4 linked regions of the Arabidopsis thaliana genome follow. The protein of the gene in region 3 interacts with the protein of the main gene of each other region in a pairwise test. Each region holds a gene or a part of one and is shown on either strand. Other genes may lie near its edges.

What was found.
Region 1: the proteins of ARF2 (region 3) and IAA18 interact in binary tests that used the Arabidopsis thaliana proteins (3 or more experiments, as listed by UniProt).
Region 2: the proteins of ARF2 (region 3) and PAP1 interact in binary tests that used the Arabidopsis thaliana proteins (3 or more experiments, as listed by UniProt).
Region 4: the proteins of ARF2 (region 3) and IAA29 interact in binary tests that used the Arabidopsis thaliana proteins (3 or more experiments, as listed by UniProt).

The regions. Positions count from the first base shown.
Region 1 is NC_003070.9:19,303,475-19,308,047, forward strand, and holds IAA18 (indole-3-acetic acid inducible 18), read left to right. Parts: upstream 1-1,606; 5' UTR 1,607-2,195; coding exon 2,196-2,467; intron 2,468-2,743; coding exon 2,744-3,039; intron 3,040-3,122; coding exon 3,123-3,255; intron 3,256-3,458; coding exon 3,459-3,526; intron 3,527-3,621; coding exon 3,622-3,656; 3' UTR 3,657-4,044; downstream 4,045-4,573. UniProt on the Arabidopsis thaliana protein: Aux/IAA proteins are short-lived transcriptional factors that function as repressors of early auxin response genes at low auxin concentrations.
Region 2 is NC_003074.8:5,611,703-5,616,453, reverse strand, and holds PAP1 (phytochrome-associated protein 1), read left to right. Parts: upstream 1-1,650; 5' UTR 1,651-2,245; coding exon 2,246-2,538; intron 2,539-2,749; coding exon 2,750-3,030; intron 3,031-3,122; coding exon 3,123-3,255; intron 3,256-3,474; coding exon 3,475-3,542; coding exon of another isoform or gene 3,543-3,568; exon of another isoform or gene 3,569-3,618; coding exon 3,619-3,653; 3' UTR 3,654-4,251; downstream 4,252-4,751. UniProt on the Arabidopsis thaliana protein: Aux/IAA proteins are short-lived transcriptional factors that function as repressors of early auxin response genes at low auxin concentrations.
Region 3 is NC_003076.8:24,908,529-24,915,939, forward strand, and holds ARF2 (auxin response factor 2), read left to right. Parts: upstream 1-1,662; 5' UTR 1,663-2,082; exon of another isoform or gene 2,083-2,184; 5' UTR 2,185-2,330; coding exon 2,331-2,484; intron 2,485-2,574; coding exon 2,575-2,690; intron 2,691-2,815; coding exon 2,816-2,911; intron 2,912-2,995; coding exon 2,996-3,052; intron 3,053-3,146; coding exon 3,147-3,302; intron 3,303-3,404; coding exon 3,405-3,489; intron 3,490-3,583; coding exon 3,584-3,674; intron 3,675-3,753; coding exon 3,754-3,918; intron 3,919-4,052; coding exon 4,053-4,172; intron 4,173-4,265; coding exon 4,266-4,341; intron 4,342-4,417; coding exon 4,418-4,589; intron 4,590-4,685; coding exon 4,686-5,608; intron 5,609-5,699; coding exon 5,700-5,890; intron 5,891-5,974; coding exon 5,975-6,152; 3' UTR 6,153-6,192; intron 6,193-6,285; exon of another isoform or gene 6,286-6,288; coding exon of another isoform or gene 6,289-6,345; 3' UTR 6,346-6,867; downstream 6,868-7,411. UniProt on the Arabidopsis thaliana protein: Auxin response factors (ARFs) are transcriptional factors that bind specifically to the DNA sequence 5'-TGTCTC-3' found in the auxin-responsive promoter elements (AuxREs). Could act as transcriptional activator or repressor.
Region 4 is NC_003075.7:15,581,557-15,585,424, forward strand, and holds IAA29 (indole-3-acetic acid inducible 29), read left to right. Parts: upstream 1-1,775; 5' UTR 1,776-1,922; coding exon 1,923-2,182; intron 2,183-2,366; coding exon 2,367-2,695; coding exon of another isoform or gene 2,696-2,706; exon of another isoform or gene 2,707-2,800; coding exon 2,801-2,891; intron 2,892-2,996; coding exon 2,997-3,072; 3' UTR 3,073-3,342; downstream 3,343-3,868. UniProt on the Arabidopsis thaliana protein: Aux/IAA proteins are short-lived transcriptional factors that function as repressors of early auxin response genes at low auxin concentrations.

The sequences.
Region 1 (4,573 bases), on a different chromosome or scaffold from region 3:
CATACGCTTCTTGTGATTAAGTTCATTTAAAGCAACACAATAATTCTTGTGTTTTTTATTTGCATGTAAAGGTAGACACAAAACTCGAATCTAAAATCAATAATTTTATTTGTTTAGTGACTGATTTGAAAAAAACGCAGAATAAACTAACCTGATTAAAAAAAAAGAGAGTTTATATTGGAGCTTACTGAATTCTATCGATCTAAAGTATAAGATGACAAAAAATTCCTCGTATCATTTGGGTTTAAATATATGATGGGATGGTAAATGGTAATTAAAGCCAATAGTAATAATTTATAAAATAATAACGACAAAACGAAATAAAGGAAGAAAATTTGCAAGAATAACTAACAAAAACTTATAAATTAAGAAAGTAACACAAAACAAAAAAACAGATATACTCTCTATATTATATATAATAATGGTATATTTACCCATTTTTCTCCACCTCATTCTAAGTCCCTCCTTCTCTCTTCACCTCTCATCTCTTTTTCTTTCTTCTCTCAATCTTTTTTTTTTTTCTTTTTTTGTATCACATAACAAACAAACGAGAAGGACAAAATAGATTTTTCAGATACCACTTATGTTATCTGGTTGCTTGAGTTGCCAAGGTTGTATCTTAGGGTATAGTTTTTCTATACATCCAAAATAGTATAGTACAACATTTTATTTCTATCCAAAATAGTACATGTTTTTACTTACAAACACTATTTACTATTTTATAAATTCAAATCCGATTTTAAAAATTCAAACTATTTTGTATGTAGAAAAAATATAGGTTTTTTCTAATAAATTTTATAATTGGAATTTATTTTTTGGAAAAGATATATAACAAAAAAAAAACAAATAGGTGAAAAACTAAACTAAATGTTACTAAATCATTTTACCTCCAATTCAACACTAAAATTGTCTTTTCCTTATCCTTACATGCTATTTTCTTAATTTTTATATATATGGTACTATATTTTTAATTTGTTTGTCAAATATGGTTATTCAGCTAAATCACCCAATAGAGACTCAATAGAGACTGAGAGAGAGAAAAAGAAGGGTTTCTCGTAAAATCTCCAAATTCATTTGAACTTTCCCAAACATTGGAATATGTGTAAGTCCCATAGGAGTAGGACAGAGTCGATAGGGGTGTGATCCTAACATACCAGAGAAAGATCGTCGAATCCTCCATTTCTTTTTATGGCAACCATATTTTAATTATATACTACTATTTATTAATTTAATTGGGTGTGATTTTTACTTCGCGTAATATAAATATGCTTTTTCTACATTTTCCCAATAATTTTGTAAAAGTGTAAAGTCTCTACAAAAACATTGTTTAGTCCTCCTTTTTTGGTCTAAATATTTGTTTAGTCCTATATCCATATTTTGTGACACTACTAGTATTATAAAAACATAACAAATTCTCAAGTTACACTTCTCGTTTTGTTTGGGTCAACCACACAACACCACAAGTTTTACTTGTACAAAGTAATTGTTTGTTTATGTTTTTCTGTTGTATGTATTTTTTTTAATTGGTCAAAAGAAAATATGTTTTAAATAAAAAGGTGAAAAAAGGCCTATGGGATTGGAATAATAAGATAGAAAACAAAATAGCATGCTTTGCTTCCTCCACTAAACTTCCTTTAAGGGCAGAGAGAGAGATAAAAAGATTGATTGCGTGTGTTTCACACCAATAAATCCCTTTATTTTTATTTTTTGGTCTCCAAATTTACTAACTTCTAATAATTTCCAATTTTACCCCTTATTTTTCTTCCTTTGGTTTTAACCTATTCACTGCATTTCCTTGGTATAAAATCCAACTTCTTCTCCTTCAAGAATCTAGAGATAGAGAGAGAGAGAGAACACAAAGTGGGAAAAAAGATAAGAACCCACCATAAAGTTTTAACATTTTTCCCTTCAAAAGGCGAAAGCTTTTGATTTGTATAAAAGTCCCACTTAATCACCTCTCTAGCTTCTCATTCCATTTCCATCTCCTCTCTTTTGTTTTCTAAGTTGCTTCAAGAGTTTTGGATAGTGTAGCAGAGAGATTTTAACTAATGGGTTTATAAAATTTTGTTCTTTTGCGTGAACAAGTTGTCAACTTCTAGACAGATTTTCTTTTTGAAGTGTTTTCTTGTCGAAATTCTTCTTCTTTTGGTCAAAGAACGCAAGATTCTTCTGTAGTTCCTCTAAAAAAAATCCTAATGGAGGGTTATTCAAGAAACGGTGAAATCTCTCCGAAGCTGCTTGACTTGATGATTCCACAAGAGAGAAGAAATTGGTTTCACGATGAGAAAAACTCTGTTTTCAAAACAGAGGAGAAGAAGCTTGAGCTAAAGCTTGGACCACCTGGTGAAGAAGATGATGATGAATCGATGATAAGACACATGAAGAAAGAACCAAAAGACAAATCTATCCTCTCTCTCGCTGGCAAATACTTCTCTCCTTCTTCCACCAAAACCACATCCCATAAAAGGTTTTAAACTTCTCATCTCTTACTTTTTGTTTTTCTCTGTTTTGTATCCTTCTCACATGATGATATTCACTTGTTATTAGCCAATAAGGTCCCATCTATCTGCATAAACTTTGTTCTTGTCTGCTTAAGATTGGATCTCAAAACTTTTCATCTTTTTACCCTTTTCCCATCTGAAAGTTTCAGTCTTTTTACTGCCCTAGTTTTCCTCTGTTTTTAACCTTGAGATTGTTCTTGTCTTACTAACAAGTTTTGTTTTGATGCCTTTGTGTTTTAAAGAACTGCTCCTGGTCCAGTGGTGGGATGGCCTCCGGTTCGATCCTTCAGGAAGAATTTAGCTAGTGGAAGTTCTTCAAAGCTTGGAAATGACTCAACCACCTCCAATGGTGTTACCCTCAAGAACCAAAAGTGTGATGCTGCTGCTAAGACAACAGAACCAAAGAGACAAGGAGGCATGTTTGTGAAGATCAACATGTATGGTGTTCCCATTGGTCGTAAAGTTGATCTCAGTGCTCATAATAGCTATGAGCAGTTATCTTTCACAGTTGACAAGCTCTTCAGAGGTCTTCTTGCAGGTAAATTTGAAACCTTTGTCTCTCTATTGATTATGGTTAAAAAAGGGTTGAATTTTGAACTCTAATTGTTCTTATTTTATCAGCTCAAAGAGACTTTCCATCATCCATAGAAGATGAAAAACCAATCACTGGATTATTAGATGGGAATGGAGAATATACTCTTACATATGAAGACAATGAAGGAGACAAGATGCTTGTAGGAGATGTTCCATGGCAGTAAGAATCTTTTCTTTTCTTTTTCGTTTTTTTCTGAATCTGAGTCAGCTTTTTGTTCTATCTAAAGGAGAAGTATTAGATTCCTAGTCACATATTTATTATATCTTAATCACAGTTTGATTAATAACAAACTTAGTTTGGTTAAGCTATTAAAGATTGTGGACTTTTTGATCACTAAAATTGATTATTTCTTAAATTGTCAGAATGTTTGTGTCTTCGGTGAAGAGGCTGCGTGTGATTAAAACTTCTGAGATTTCTTCAGCATTAACATGTAAGTGTAGGATTTTAATAACATTTTTTAGTTGTTTTGGTGACTCTTTTAAGTGAAGTTCTTAGAATGTTTTTTTGTTGTTTTGAAATTTGCAGATGGAAATGGTAAGCAAGAGAAAATGAGAAGATGAAGAAAAAGATCTTTTACAGCTTTTAAAGAAGTAGAGAGATGTTATTAATTGCATTTTGCCTTTAAACTTTGATGAGTTTTTGGTCTTGGAAAAGTTTCTGATATAAGTCTGATGTACATTCTGGTTTGTTACATCTTCTTTTGGCTTTTGAGATATCATAGAGTTTTGTTGGAACTCAAAGACCAAACAGTGCAATGATGATTTTGGGGTCTTGAGTAAATTTACAAACCCTTTTAGGCATATTATAATAGTCTTCTGTTTTTAAGTTTTGGTAATGATTATTCACACTTGATCAACACTTTTAAGTAATGTAACTCTCCCTATGTCAGCAAAGCATCCTTTTCGAAAAACGGAGAAAAGAAACAATCTTTTTCTCTGCCAAAAAGCTCTTTAGCTTTTATTAAATCTATACTTAGGGTATCCGCTATTGTAATGAACTATGAGAGTGAAAGGTTTTAAAACATTGAACAACTTTTCTTTAAATGAGCTGTTAGGACAGATATTCAAACCATTGTCTAACCACATCTTTCATCTTTGTCTGGACTCTTGGGCAACAAAATTACAGACATCATTAGATTATCATCTTCTGATTATTGATCTACATATTTGATAATACTTGATATGATATAGTTTCTATGTATAATCATCTCTAAATTTATGTTTCTAGTTTAGCTTTTGTGTTTCGTAGAATAGATATATAAAATAAAGGGTTGTTCATAAGCATATGTATTCATACGATCAAATCGTTTAAAAGGAAAAAAGGAAGAAAAAATTGGTGGGTATGGAATATTGATAAAGAGAGTACAAAATAGAAAAATTGAAGAGAAGTCTTTTTCGTTGAGAGTCTTGCCTAACTATTCGAAGCAGCAATATGAGACCTTATAGTTACTTTTTTCCTTTTGCCTTCGAAAATGTTC
Region 2 (4,751 bases), on a different chromosome or scaffold from region 3:
ATTATATATGTGATAAATTCACAAAACTACTAGTATTAGTAGTCAAAACTCAATAGTCAACCCATTTTTCCATAAAGGCATGAAGTTCATGAACATTGATGATCAACAATTGGGCTCATTTTCAGCGTGATTTTCATGGGCCAGTTATACTAGAGGATCAGTTCAGACCTTATCCATATTTGGATTATTTTTTCTTTTATTCCTCTTTTTATTTTGTTAAAATGATATCAATTTCTTACATATACTCCTTTTTTAGTTCACTAAAAAAATTAGTGAGTGGATAAAAATAATTTTATTTCTTGGTGAAAATTCTAGGAAGAGCATCATTGACACCACCACTATTCTCACTTGCTTTTCTTTATTTCCCTTGATATGACATTCAATTCACGAGTTGTTTTTTTGTTCCTTTTCTCCTGAGTCGGCTACTTTTTTAATCGGATGCTTTGCTTTGTACTCTTTTAATCACAGCCGTCACATTTGCTATATCTCTATTCACTTCTACGGCTTTGATTAAAGCCCAAATTTAAACCTTATCGTACGATCTCAAAATCTTGTGCAACTTCAACATGTGTCCACTGTCTAGTTTGTCTGTGCGGATCTAGTTAGTGCGGTTAAGTTAAACCGGAGAGGTTCAGGTTATGTTAACCATGGTTAAGGTTTTGTCTGACAGTGAGGGAAGAAAGTCACGGAGTTGGGTAAAACGGCGACAAGATATGACTAGAGACACACTCCTTCTTCAATTTCCTAAATTACCCTTCCTTACTTGACCGGAACTCTCACTCGAGATTTTTCTACGTCGGCTTTATCGTAATATCGGTGTCACACGTACGTGGGAGAGACATGTACATTCTTTTCCCCCTCCTGAAAAACCAAATAAAATAGCTTCAATCTTTGGTTGAAAAACTTGAAATATGTTCTTGATTTACGCTGCAAAATTATGTACATTTTTTAAGATCAAAGGACCAACTACAATTGTTTCTGCTAAAGTCTTTTCTTTTGTTATTTTTATCAAAATATGTTGATTTTGTAGATTTGAGAAAAGAAAATTTTTGATTAGGAAAAACAAACAAACAGTTGACTATTTACTTGGTTGGGGAAGCAAATTAAATTATACCATCGTAATCCACACGTACACATTGTTTTTAACTTTTGACAAAATAATTGTTTAGCTACCTAACAAATTGACATATTGTGTGGCAAATTTATAAATAAATAATTACATATATCTCACTGAGACGCCATGCAGATTCGTATGTTTATACAATGCCTCACCCATTTCTTGAATTCTCTCAATTGATCTTCCCATGATGTTCATTTATTATTTGCTTTATGTATATCTTTGTAGAATGGTAGTATTACTATTAAAGTATCAAATTACCATGACGACCTATAGAAAAATGTTTTTAGAAAAGCATAGGGATATGTGTCTTATGGACAGTGGATAAGAGAGTGGTCCTAAAAACAGACCATAAATTATGGGATCTTCCCTTAGTTCCTTTATTGTTATCATATTTTAATTACTCTTATTAGTATTTTTTTAATGGTCAAGTTGTTTATTGGAATTACGCATTTAATTATTTTTCTAATTCGTATACTTGTGAGAAACAGAACAGCACGCTTTGCTTCTTTTACTAGACAAACCCTTAATTAGCGATATTTGAGGCAGAAAAAAAGACAAGGTTGCGTGTGTTTTACTCCACAAAAGAACTCCTAAAACCAAAAACGTTAAAACCCACTTCTTTTTTTTCACAGTATTCTCTTTTCATGTCAAGAACAATTACTGTTTTTCTTGGTATGCAATCTGTAAATTTATTGTAGTTTTCATTTCTACTTTTGGGGTTTAGGAGTAAAAGTGGAGTCACTCTACTTTGCTTTACCTTTTTCTGAGTTTTTTTTTGTTCATACAAATCCAAATTTCCTTTTCTTTGTATTCCTATTTTTTCTCTTCTCGTCCCTTTCAGAATCTTTAGAGAGAGAGAACAACAAATTGAGAAAGAAAAAAAGGTAAGGCTGTGTGAGAGAGAACCCACCAAAGCGTGCACGAGAGAGAGAAAAAAAAAGCTTTGATTTTGTATAAAATCCCACCACTGCTCTCTTACCATACCTTCATTACACATCTCTCTTTCTCTCTCTCGCTCTCAGTTTTGTGGGATTGTTTCTTTAAAAGGGGTTCTTAGGGTTTAGTGAAGCTATAGATTTCAATTTCATACATAGTTAACGTATAGAAGGAATCTTGGGTTGATCAATGGAAGGTTGTCCAAGAAACAGAGAAATCGGTCCAAAACTTCTTGATTTGATTCCACAAGGAAGGAAATGGTACCAAGAAGACAAGAACAACACAGATCAGGAGAAGAAACTTGAGCTAAGGCTTGGACCACCCGGTGGTGATGAAGAAGATCATTCAGCAATCAAGAAGAAGAACACAGAGATAAGAAACATCAAGAAGGAAACAGAAGACAAATCTTTCCACTGTTTTAATGGCAATCACTTCTCTCCTTCCAACAAAACCACTTCTGTTCCTCACATCTCACAGAAAAGGTATAATCTCCTTTTTTTTCCTTCACTGTTATTTTTTCTTACTGCTTTGACAGAGGATATTCTCTTGAACATTAGGGACCCATCTTCTGCAATCTGTGTTTTTTTTTTTACCTTCACATGTTAAAAGTTTCAACATTTACTCTGTTTTGCTCTGTTTTTGTCGTTTGGTATTGACATATGTCTCTTGTTTCTTTTGATATCTGGTTCAAAGAACTGCTCCTGGTCCAGTGGTGGGTTGGCCTCCGGTTCGTTCGTTCAGAAAGAATCTAGCGAGCACAAGCTCTTCAAAGCTAGGTAACGAATCCTCTCATGGAGGTCAAATCAACAAGAGTGATGATGGTGAAAAACAAGTTGAAACCAAGAAGGAAGGAATGTTTGTCAAGATCAACATGGATGGTGTTCCTATTGGTCGTAAAGTTGATCTCAATGCTTACAACAGCTACGAACAGCTCTCTTTTGTCGTTGACAAACTCTTCAGAGGTCTACTCGCAGGTTAAATCTTAATCTCAAATTCTGTTTTTTAGTTCTTTAGGAGTGTTACTTGTGTTTACTGAGTATGATTTGTGTATGTTGTTGGTTTATAGCTCAAAGAGATATCTCTGATGGTCAAGGAGAAGAGAAACCTATCATTGGATTATTAGATGGGAAAGGAGAATTTACTTTAACCTATGAAGACAATGAAGGGGACAAGATGCTTGTTGGGGATGTTCCATGGCAGTAAGAATCTTTTCCCCTTTTGTTCTCTGAATCTGATTCAGTGTTTTGCAGAATTAGATTCTTGATCATATAACAACAAAAGTTCTCAGCTTTTAATCAATAGTAGTAGTAATTCAAATTGATAATTCTTTACCTAAAGAATAGAATTTTGCTTGGAGATTTGTTTATACCTCTTTTTTTGCATACTAACTGATCTTTAATCTTTGTTTTTAAACACAGAATGTTTGTTTCATCTGTGAAGAGACTGCGTGTGATTAAAAGCTCTGAGATTTCATCTGCCTTGACATGTAAGCTTCTGTTCTTATATGTTTAGATGATTTATTAGAGCTATATGATTAAAAGGGTTCCTCTGTATATTTGCAGTTGGATGCAGTAAGCAAGAGAAGATGATGCACTGAAGAGTCTTTTTAGAAACTTTTATTTCAGACAGAGAGTCTCAAAGCTTTATAAATGTACATCTGGTTTTTGTTATATATAAGAGTTAATCATTGGTTTTTTACTTTTTTTTTGGTCCAGAGAAACATTTGATCTGATCTGATATTCCCATGTCTTCAAGACACTAGACGATGAGATTACATAAGCAATCTGTGTTTATAAGCATTTTAATTAATTAAGGAGATAATTAGAACATACTGTAATAATTATCTCATGCATGTCTGCAAAACTCTTTTTGAAAAAAGAAGATGAAATTTTTATTCTCTGTAAAAGCTCTTTTAACTTTTGTTCCTTCCAACTTTGGCTATACCTTTAATCATGTAAAAAGCTGAGAATGAAAGGCCATTATTGTTGTTTTTGTTGTTGTCTTTTTTTTTCTTCTTGTTTTTACTATTTAACCTGAGTATGCATGTATATAAGAAGATAAGATTGGAAGTTGAAAACTCAAAAAAGACTTTTCAGAATGAGATCAGTCCATGTCGTGATAATTTTGGTGGCTATATCATCTCTTTTGTTCTTCTAGGTGCAGAATTTAGCAGCTTTTTATCCTGACTTTTTAAATCATACATACACATTGTAACTTATTGGACAGTGTCTTGGTGGATCGACTAAAACATCACTATAGATATGTTTAATTTAGCACATTGTTTTCGTGATAAATATATTCATACCACAAGCATCACTTGGCCGACTTGTATTCATCTTAAAAATTTTATTCGAAGTTGTCCTTCTCATTACCAGATGAGTGTTGTGGTTAAACAATATAACCATTGAAATTGATGCAGCCAAATAGTTTGATAATAACATTTTTTGGTAGCTAAATAATGGTATATGTTTTAACTTTTAACCAAACCAAAAAAGAAACATTTTCGAAACATATGTAAAGCGATAGCCGCAACATAATGAGTTGGAAAATTCCGTTGTTTCATTTGTTGCAAAATGTCGCACCAGTGCCGGCTCTAGGGGAGTGCTAGAGGAGCAAAAGCACAGGGTCCTCAATTTTTTTTTCAATTTTCTTTAAGGTTTTAGGGTCCAAAAATTACAGAAATTAAAAACCAATA
Region 3 (7,411 bases):
TCATGGTTTGTAATTTTGCAATAGATTTTGTGTTTCACAGAGAGATAGTTTACGTGTTGTTAAAAATAATTTGTGCAAAATAGTGTGCGTGTGTTAAATATTAAACGATATATAATAATTAGAAGAAAATAAAAAGTTTTGTCGCGATTAGTTATTTGATATTTACCTTGTTCTTTTGTTTATCGCTGCGACAAGCACCGACGGTATAAAATATAAAGAAAAAAAGAAAGAGAGATGAAGGTGAGATGAATGAAAGAGTCGCAGCGACAGATCTGAAGAGATAGGAGAAAGGGAATTTGAGACGCTGAAAATTCCAGCGTCTACGGAATGGCCGAATTACAGTCGATGCGGCAGAGATGAAAAAAATGAGAAATGAAAGTGAAAAAGAGATGAGAACTTTTTTTGGGTCGCAGGTAGCTGACGCAGCAATCAACAAAAGAACATGGCCAACGTTTTAGTAGATACTACTATAAAAGAAAAAGGTTGATTTAATTCATTCGTAATTTGGACTTAATTTTTTTTTAGGAACACTAATTAATCTTATTTGCCAGCTGTATGAGTGGACTACAATAAACTCTTGTCTATAAACCAGATTTTCTTCCTTTTTAACGCTTCCACTTACAACAATATATGTAAATATGTAATTATGACGGGGCATACGGAAATTTAATTTTTGAAGCAGATTCATCCCATTAGCCAGCTGTATTAAGTGGTAATCCAAGAGTTAATTTAGTTGTTCAGCAAATGATTTTAGATAAAATCAACTACTAGTTTAAAATAACTATCGAATGACTGTTAAGGCTTCGTATTTTTTGTTCTGCCATCAGGATATCATAAATATGGTTGAGGTTCGTATAATATTCGACGATCTTTTATATATCTGAGTTGTAATTGAATTAGAGAAAATAAAAAACAGATAATGAAACGTCTTTGTTTTTCCATAAAAAGAAAAACAGGGTAAATTAAAGTACGAGAGATTCACGAGACGAAAATTCCTAGAGGCGCACGATAGCCAAAAGACCATAGAAAATGACATCCGAAATATCTTTAAAATGCTAAAATGCACATATTTTTCTGGTGCCACGTAGCATTTTTCTCCCTCTCTCGTTCTCTCTACGTCCACCCAGACCTGCCTGTTCACAGCACGACAAAGCCACTTCCCAATAAAAACACAACACCTTTCCCATTGACGCTCTCTTTCCCAAACACCGTTATCCTCTTTACCCAATCAAAAGTTGACGCTTGCTCACGACTTGTTGACGCCGTTAGTCCCATCTAAAAAAGTAAAGCAGCCTTTCTTACTTGCTAATCCCCTCTACACATTTAATTTATTTTCTCCCCTAATGGATTTTTTTTGGCAACTTGAGTATTTATTTTTCAACTCACAGTAACTGTAAATAAATAAAAGTATTCAACTCACAGTCACCAGTAAATAAATACTACCAGACCATAGTTTTTTCAAGAATTGTTTTGGTCAACAATTTTAGGATGACTTAAATTGCTATATTTCTGGGGAAATACGACTTGGAAATGTCTGCAATTTGGGTCTTTTCTTCAATTTATCTTCTCCAATTTGTTTTTTAAAAAATTAAATTTTAGAAAAGGATATGTCAATTTTTTCTATTGAAAAGGCTTTATTAAAAAATAAGAAAAAGTGGAGGAAAGAAAATAAAATCGTCACTTGTCTTTGGTTTTGTGAGGTCGCAGACCCTGGTCCCCCGGAAATGGTTACAACCGGTAATAGCCGGTATGAAAGAGGGAATGGTAACCGGTGAATGCCGGTTATCCATATGGGTTAGAAGTTTACCGCGGTTGAAATGATTGAAGCTGAGTTTTGACTACCTCTGGTTAAGCCCATTGGTCGCCTCATACCCAGAAAAACAAAAGGATAGGAAAGACGAAGAAATAAAAAGAGAGAGAATGTTAGAGAGACAAACTCTGAGAGACAAAACAAGAGAAAATCGCTCGTCGTCGGTATTCAAGCGTCTGTGACTCCGATAAAGCCTAGACTAGCGAGGACGGCGAGAGAGAGAGAGAGAGAGCTTTGGAGTTGTCGTATCTCTAAATCGGAGGCAATTTGAGGTGAAATTGGTGGTTTTATCGTTTGATTCTAGGGTTTATCTTCTCTGATAGTTTTATCGAGTAATGTCAAGGAGCTAAACTAGTGGTGATTGTGTTTGTTAGTGAGATAAAGACAAAGGAAGGAATCAAGTGGACTACCGAAGCGAGTTTTGAGCTTTTTCAGAGACGGATTTGGAGATTTCTTGTTGATATCGTCTGCTTAGAGGCTTATTTGGTACCAGATGAAACAGATCTGAGCTTCGGAAGGTATGGCGAGTTCGGAGGTTTCAATGAAAGGTAATCGTGGAGGAGATAACTTCTCCTCCTCTGGTTTTAGTGACCCTAAGGAGACTAGAAATGTCTCCGTCGCCGGCGAGGGGCAAAAAAGTAATTCTACCCGATCCGCTGCGGCTGAGCGTGCTTGTAAGTCTCCGTTTCTTAGGGTTTCTTAAGCTTGGTTTTGGTTACAGACTGACTTGATCTAATTTATCTTCTTCTTCTTCGTCTTCATAGTGGACCCTGAGGCTGCTCTTTACAGAGAGCTATGGCACGCTTGTGCTGGTCCGCTTGTGACGGTTCCTAGACAAGACGACCGAGTCTTCTATTTTCCTCAAGGACACATCGAGCAGGTGAGATATTTCATCTATGAGTTCTTGCTATTTTTGGCTAAATCTTTGAGTTAACCCCTCTGTGATTCGTACCTGTTGAGATATTTTCTAATGAACTTTGTCGGTTTCCATTGTTTTATGATTAGGTGGAGGCTTCGACGAACCAGGCGGCAGAACAACAGATGCCTCTCTATGATCTTCCGTCAAAGCTTCTCTGTCGAGTTATTAATGTAGATTTAAAGGTAGGTTTCTTTAACTTCTTGGAAAATTTTGGTTTCTGTGTCTTGGATTGTCAGCTAACAAGAGTTTTGTTTATGATTTTACAGGCAGAGGCAGATACAGATGAAGTTTATGCGCAGATTACTCTTCTTCCTGAGGCTAATGTAAGTTTTGTTTTCTGATTTATTGGTTTGAGTGTTGTAGAGGTGATCTTATTCTTCAAGATGCTGAATTCTATATATTTTTTGTTCCATACAGCAAGACGAGAATGCAATTGAGAAAGAAGCGCCTCTTCCTCCACCTCCGAGGTTCCAGGTGCATTCGTTCTGCAAAACCTTGACTGCATCCGACACAAGTACACATGGTGGATTTTCTGTTCTTAGGCGACATGCGGATGAATGTCTCCCACCTCTGGTTGGTGTTTCATTTGCGCTTCTAACTATCTATTCATTGGCTTATTTTTCCTGAATTTTGTTCTAAGATTGCCTTCAATTCATTTTTTGTTTCTTCCCTCAGGATATGTCTCGACAGCCTCCCACTCAAGAGTTAGTTGCAAAGGATTTGCATGCAAATGAGTGGCGATTCAGACATATATTCCGGGGTATAGGAATCTGTAACTTTTTTATTTTCTGTTTTTCTCGAGTCTGTGTGTCATCAAACTTATCTGGTTGTTGATGTTTGTGATAATGGACCAGGTCAACCACGGAGGCATTTGCTACAGAGTGGGTGGAGTGTGTTTGTTAGCTCCAAAAGGCTAGTTGCAGGCGATGCGTTTATATTTCTAAGGTTTGTGGATTTTAGTTCATTGTTTTCTTTAGCTGTATCTGTTAGTTTCTATAATGTGGAATATCTTAATCTTCTACAGGGGCGAGAATGGAGAATTAAGAGTTGGTGTAAGGCGTGCGATGCGACAACAAGGAAACGTGCCGTCTTCTGTTATATCTAGCCATAGCATGCATCTTGGAGTACTGGCCACCGCATGGCATGCCATTTCAACAGGGACTATGTTTACAGTCTACTACAAACCCAGGTTTGTATTTGTATTAGCTCACAAAACAGCTTTCAGTTTTTTGAGCTCTTTGCTTTGTATGTCTCTATATGTCTGATGCTTGGTAGTGAATCACTCTACTAAATTTTCATGCGGTGTTGTTTTGTTTAATACAGGACGAGCCCATCTGAGTTTATTGTTCCGTTCGATCAGTATATGGAGTCTGTTAAGAATAACTACTCTATTGGCATGAGATTCAAAATGAGATTTGAAGGCGAAGAGGCTCCTGAGCAGAGGTAAAACCTGTCTTCTGCTTTTGAAATATGTTAGCTCTTGAGCCTTTTTCTCTTGGAATAACGAACCTAACAAGTTGTATTGATTTATATTAGGTTTACTGGCACAATCGTTGGGATTGAAGAGTCTGATCCTACTAGGTGGCCAAAATCAAAGTGGAGATCCCTCAAGGTATGACCTAGTTTCTAGAGAGGATCAAGACTATTGTTTGAATATAATGAATGCTGATTGTTCAATTGTCTTTCAGGTGAGATGGGATGAGACTTCTAGTATTCCTCGACCTGATAGAGTATCTCCGTGGAAAGTAGAGCCAGCTCTTGCTCCTCCTGCTTTGAGTCCTGTTCCAATGCCTAGGCCTAAGAGGCCCAGATCAAATATAGCACCTTCATCTCCTGACTCTTCGATGCTTACCAGAGAAGGTAATGTCTTCCCCTTCCACTGTAGTACACATAGTAGTGCGTCTGAAACTTAATTGAACTTGTCAGTGGGAGTCTAATTCATTGTACACAAAACAGGTACAACTAAGGCAAACATGGACCCTTTACCAGCAAGCGGACTTTCAAGGGTCTTGCAAGGTCAAGAATACTCGACCTTGAGGACGAAACATACTGAGAGTGTAGAGTGTGATGCTCCTGAGAATTCTGTTGTCTGGCAATCTTCAGCGGATGATGATAAGGTTGACGTGGTTTCGGGTTCTAGAAGATATGGATCTGAGAACTGGATGTCCTCAGCCAGGCATGAACCTACTTACACAGATTTGCTCTCCGGCTTTGGGACTAACATAGATCCATCCCATGGTCAGCGGATACCTTTTTATGACCATTCATCATCACCTTCTATGCCTGCAAAGAGAATCTTGAGTGATTCAGAAGGCAAGTTCGATTATCTTGCTAACCAGTGGCAGATGATACACTCTGGTCTCTCCCTGAAGTTACATGAATCTCCTAAGGTACCTGCAGCAACTGATGCGTCTCTCCAAGGGCGATGCAATGTTAAATACAGCGAATATCCTGTTCTTAATGGTCTATCGACTGAGAATGCTGGTGGTAACTGGCCAATACGTCCACGTGCTTTGAATTATTATGAGGAAGTGGTCAATGCTCAAGCGCAAGCTCAGGCTAGGGAGCAAGTAACAAAACAACCCTTCACGATACAAGAGGAGACAGCAAAGTCAAGAGAAGGGAACTGCAGGCTCTTTGGCATTCCTCTGACCAACAACATGAATGGGACAGACTCAACCATGTCTCAGAGAAACAACTTGAATGATGCTGCGGGGCTTACACAGATAGCATCACCAAAGGTTCAGGACCTTTCAGATCAGTCAAAAGGGTCAAAATCAACAAACGATCATCGTGAACAGGGAAGACCATTCCAGACTAATAATCCTCATCCGAAGGATGCTCAAACGAAAACCAACTCAAGTAGGAGTTGCACAAAGGTAAATTTTTGCAATATGTAGCACAAAGTGTATGAGGTTGTGATAACCCTTGAATCACTTTTCAACTAACACATGACACATTGATGTAAAGGTTCACAAGCAGGGAATTGCACTTGGCCGTTCAGTGGATCTTTCAAAGTTCCAAAACTATGAGGAGTTAGTCGCTGAGCTGGACAGGCTGTTTGAGTTCAATGGAGAGTTGATGGCTCCTAAGAAAGATTGGTTGATAGTTTACACAGATGAAGAGAATGATATGATGCTTGTTGGTGACGATCCTTGGCAGTAAGATTTTGCAAATTTTCCATCTTAGTTTATATCGATGTTAGTGTTTTTCTTATAACACTGACACAATGATCTCTCTTGCAGGGAGTTTTGTTGCATGGTTCGCAAAATCTTCATATACACGAAAGAGGAAGTGAGGAAGATGAACCCGGGGACTTTAAGCTGTAGGAGCGAGGAAGAAGCAGTTGTTGGGGAAGGATCAGATGCAAAGGACGCCAAGTCTGCATCAAATCCTTCATTGTCCAGCGCTGGGAACTCTTAAACAAACAAAATAACCAACAACCCTTTTGCTGCAAGCCGAGGTATGTAAAAGCTTTTGAGATATTAGTAGACTAGAGACACAGCCAAAAGTTTATGTCATTACATTCGACTGATGTTTGTTCTGTTAATGACAGCAGGATGGGGGTCGATTGGTGGAGACTGGAGAGCAAAATGGGATGATGGGTTTAAGATAAGATATTAAAAATGCAATTTTTGAAGTATTTTGTTGGCCACTTAGATAATTAGCATCTTCCATCACCCTTATTATCTATCTAATAATAATTAATAGATATTATAAAGTAAAACATAAAAAGGTTACAGGTATTATATAGTAGAATATGAAAAGCTCTTTTATAAGTAGAATATGATGGTGTGGAGTTGTAGTCGGAGGCTGGTATCGGTTCTTTTTATGGATGTATTTTTTTCCTTCTTCCAAAGATCTCTTGAAGTCTTTTTATTGTTTATATTAATCCCAATGTACATAAGTTTTCAAGCTCTTGCCCTTTTTTAATTATCTTGTCGATTCACATTTTCTCAACTTATTCTCTTGCTGACTTTTGGTTTTGGTCTGGTCTTGTCGGTATTTTGCAGCTTTTCGTATTAGACGGTGATATAGATATATTCACGAAACTGTAAGACCTCTTAACAAACGGATTCCATTTCGAATCCTTACATTAAATAAATTCGGATGTTTCTAGCTACAATCTGAAAATTAAGCTTGCAATGAGCAAAACAGTGAGCCCTCTTTTTAAAGTACTTTGAAAAAAAAACTGGATGCTAAAATTTGTTGTTTCCCTTGTAACAATGAGGAAAACAAGGTTTGGGTTTTCAAGTTTATTTCTCTAGCTATGCTCATGTCCATATAAACGAATCCGCTGAAAAACAGAAAGATGACACCATGGCAAACACATGATCAAAGTTTCGTGATCTATGGTTTCATTCTATCATATGGCTCTTCATAACCAAACTTGTATTTAGGTAGAACTCTATCTAAATCAAGACTTTAAACCATATGAAACACACAACACCGGCAACTCTGGCATACTACCGCCTTAAGCCGACAATCTCAATCGTCACAGAAACACAACAAACATTTTATCAAACTTGCTGAGTTTATGGAAAAACTTTCAATTGTATCAGTTTATGCCATTATCTTACAACAATACAAAACTGCATAGTTAAATAAGTGGTTCTCTAGCTCCTTGTAATTCTACCATCGACACATATAGTGATAGGTCTGATATGGATGACACATCAAAG
Region 4 (3,868 bases), on a different chromosome or scaffold from region 3:
AATTAAAAATTGAAACAACACCATATTTTTATAGCTTTACTTATCGTATTTTTCTAGTCTTCATGGTAATTGTGTTGCTTTATTTTGTTTATAAATGAATTTGGTTCGACCAGATAGTCTAATATCAGTTTTTAAACACTGGTTTTAATAAAATCATATGTCGGCAATTCAACCTGTTACGTTGTATGATTGTATCCTAGTCAAATAGGGGAGGAGGTACTAGTCGTTTCAATTAGTTTACGTAATCAATCCAAAGAAACTATAAGCTATAAAGATCCTCAATTTGTTGGTTACAATAAAAACAACAGTTGTCAAAATTTATGTTTATAAAAAGTAATAACTATGTTCCTTCCCATATAGAGCAAAGTACCTCAGGATAGGCAAACCGTACTTAATAGCCCTTATTCATAATTTGATCCAACTCTTCCCCACAAAATTGCAACTGATGAAGTCAATACTTGTATAGTGAGTCAAGCTATAAATGTCTAGTGATAGTTTTGTCTCTTAAAAGGTTAACAAAAGTTATGACAAGCTGAAAAATCAGAGTTTGCTAGGAGTATTACTTACAGTTATCAGTTTAAGTATCACATTTATAGTATTGTATACAATGATTCTTAAATTCCACCTTTTCCGTGCGAAACCAAATTTTCTATTGGAAACATAGAATGTAAACAAAAATATGGGACGTTGTCCGTTCCAACATTAACCAAACTTGTCTATTACTAATATTCGTGTTGGTTTGATGTTGGATGTCTAAATTCGTTGAATCATGTGTCTCTTGACGAAATATGCATCTTCTTATTTCTTAGTATAGATGCACTTTATCATTCTTTTAGTACATGCTTAATTTTTTTTTTTAAAATATGTTGATTGTCATATTGCCAAAAGTATGAATTAAAGACGCACATCTAACACAAGTTAGCAGCCGTAAATCCTTCCATAAATTTATTTTGCAAGTTTTGCTCATTATATAATGAGCGGAATTTATGATATAATCGTTTGTAATAATGTTATGTTTTGATCAAAATTTGAAATTAAAAGTAGGTGAGAACTTGTTATACAGTGTAGATAAGGTGGATCTTGAATATAAAAATAAAATTTATAAGATGTATTTAAAGCAGAAAAGCATAAAACTTTAGATAAAATAATGTAAAAATGTGTTAGCATCAATGTTGGGATATTGGCCGACCCGAACTTAATCAATGTCGGAAGCCATTACTTCTCTCCCAAAAGACCTTTTTCCTTCGGAGAACTAGGAACTTCCTCACTACCTTTCGCTTAACGTGAAAGCCATAAATTTCATATATTCATAAAAATCAGAAAATCTAAAACTGTTTAGTATCACCTGTTTTTGGTATAGACTATTGGTTTTGTGTTACTTCCTAAACTATATGATTTCGTACTTCATTGGATCTTATAGAGATGAATATTCGTAAAAAGATAAGTTATCTGGTGAAACGTTACTTCAGTCATGTTGGGTCTAGATTTACATACTACTATGAAACATTTTAAGATAATAATTATCCTAGCCAACTATATGTTCTATATTATGGGCCAAGAAGATATAGAACTAAAAGTTCAGAATTTAACGATATAAATTACTAGTATATTCTAATACTTGAATGATTACTGTTTTAGTTGTTTAGAATAAATAGTAGCGTGTTGGTTAAGATACCATCTATCCACATCTATATTTGTGTGGGTTACATAAAATGTACATAATATTATATACATATATATGTATATTTTTGATAAAGCCATATATTACTCCTTGACCTCTGCCCCCATTTCCTTTTACTATAAATAGGAATACTCATGATCCTCTAATTCAGCAATCAACACCAACGAACACAACCTTTTCCAAAGCCAATAATAAAAGAACAAAAGCTTTTAGTTTCATCAAAGACGAAGCTGCCTTAGAAATGGAGTTGGATCTTGGTCTATCTCTTTCACCTCATAAATCTTCCAAGTTAGGGTTTAACTTTGACCTCAACAAGCATTGTGCGATCGAGGGTGCTGCGTCTTGTTTGGGTACCGAAAAACTGCGTTTTGAGGCGACGTTTGGGTTAGGGAATGTGGAGGAAAATTGTTATATGCCAAAACAGCGTTTGTTTGCCTTGAATGGCCAGCCCAACGAGGAAGACGAAGATCCTCTGGAATCCGAGTCTTCAATAGTTTACGAGTGAGTACCTTGACTATTTTAGTATTTGACAACAATTAGGTTAAAGTAGTTACATCTAGTATTATTATATAATAAATGACTCCGTAGTTTTCAAAAATGTTATGATGTTGTAGACTTGTAGTTAACTCAATGGAGAGGCATAATTTGTATTTTTTTGTAACATATAATTAATTTTAATATTTAGTGATGAGGAGGAAAATAGCGAAGTTGTTGGATGGCCACCAGTAAAAACATGTATGATAAAGTATGGTAGTTATCATCATCGTCATATTCGTAATCACCATCATTGCCCGTATCATCATCGTGGTAGGAGGATCACGGCGATGAACAACAACATATCTAATCCAACAACGGCTACTGTGGGATCATCATCTTCTTCGTCAATATCATCAAGATCATCAATGTATGTTAAGGTTAAGATGGATGGTGTGGCAATAGCAAGAAAAGTGGATATCAAGCTTTTTAACTCTTACGAGTCCCTCACTAACTCCTTGATCACTATGTTTACCGAATGTAAGTACTAATTACGTTTATCAAAATCTAGAGTAAGAAACCTATAAACAATTGAAAATAGAACGTAACTTTTTACTACTATTGAATCTAATTTTGGGTTATCAGATGAAGATTGCGACAGAGAAGATACAAATTATACATTCACCTTCCAAGGGAAAGAGGGTGACTGGCTACTTCGAGGGGATGTTACATGGAAGTAAGTTTACTTCTCTATATTTCAAGAAAAATGACTTATTGAGTAATGACTACTATACTCTCTTTCTTATATATTGATACTTAACTTGTTGTTTTGGTTTTGTAGGATCTTTGCGGAATCTGTTCATCGGATATCAATAATTAGAGATCGACCGTGTGCATATACAAGATGTTTGTTTTAAGGATAGGCGTTCAAATCGGACCATTATTTTTTATTTTGTAATTAAAATGTCTATCATTTGATTAAATTTCCACTCGATCTTTTTCCTCTATTCTTCTAGTTCTTAGTATCAAATCCAATGGTTTATAATCTGTTGTTATCTGATCCATGGCTAACACATGGACAAAAAGCTAAAGAAAATTCAAAAGTAAAAAAAACTCATGAATTGTCAAAGACAGACTAGCTGATAATAATTAAGATGTTAGACTTTTTGTGTGTACCGAATTGATTTTTTTTTCATAGACTTGTTTGATTGAGAAACCATAAGAATGTAATGGTTGCGGACGTCCGGGTTTTACACAAGTAAGTATGTCACTTTATGTGATTCAAGAGATTTCCAAGTAATTAAATTTTGGTTTGAATTAGATCGGAGTACGATTTTAAATTGTGAGTAAACAAGGGGAAAAAAAAAAGCATGAGTAAACAGAAAAAAAATGACATAAAAACTGATACATTTCTTAAACAATTTAATTAGCTGAATAGCTGATAACAAAATTTAAAATGAATATTATTGATCTTAGCTTAAAATGCGTAATTTAGATTAAAATATTAATCAATAATGAATGATATATAAGAAAATCTTTTATTAAAATGGTTATTATATTTACAATTTGCATAAAATTATATCATAAGTTTATAATCTTTAAATTAAATAATATGACAAACATAATCTTTATATAAGGAAAATAGATATTTTAGTGAAATTTAGAGAAACACAACTTTAGATCTACTAAAGTTATGAATGAAACAATCAAACA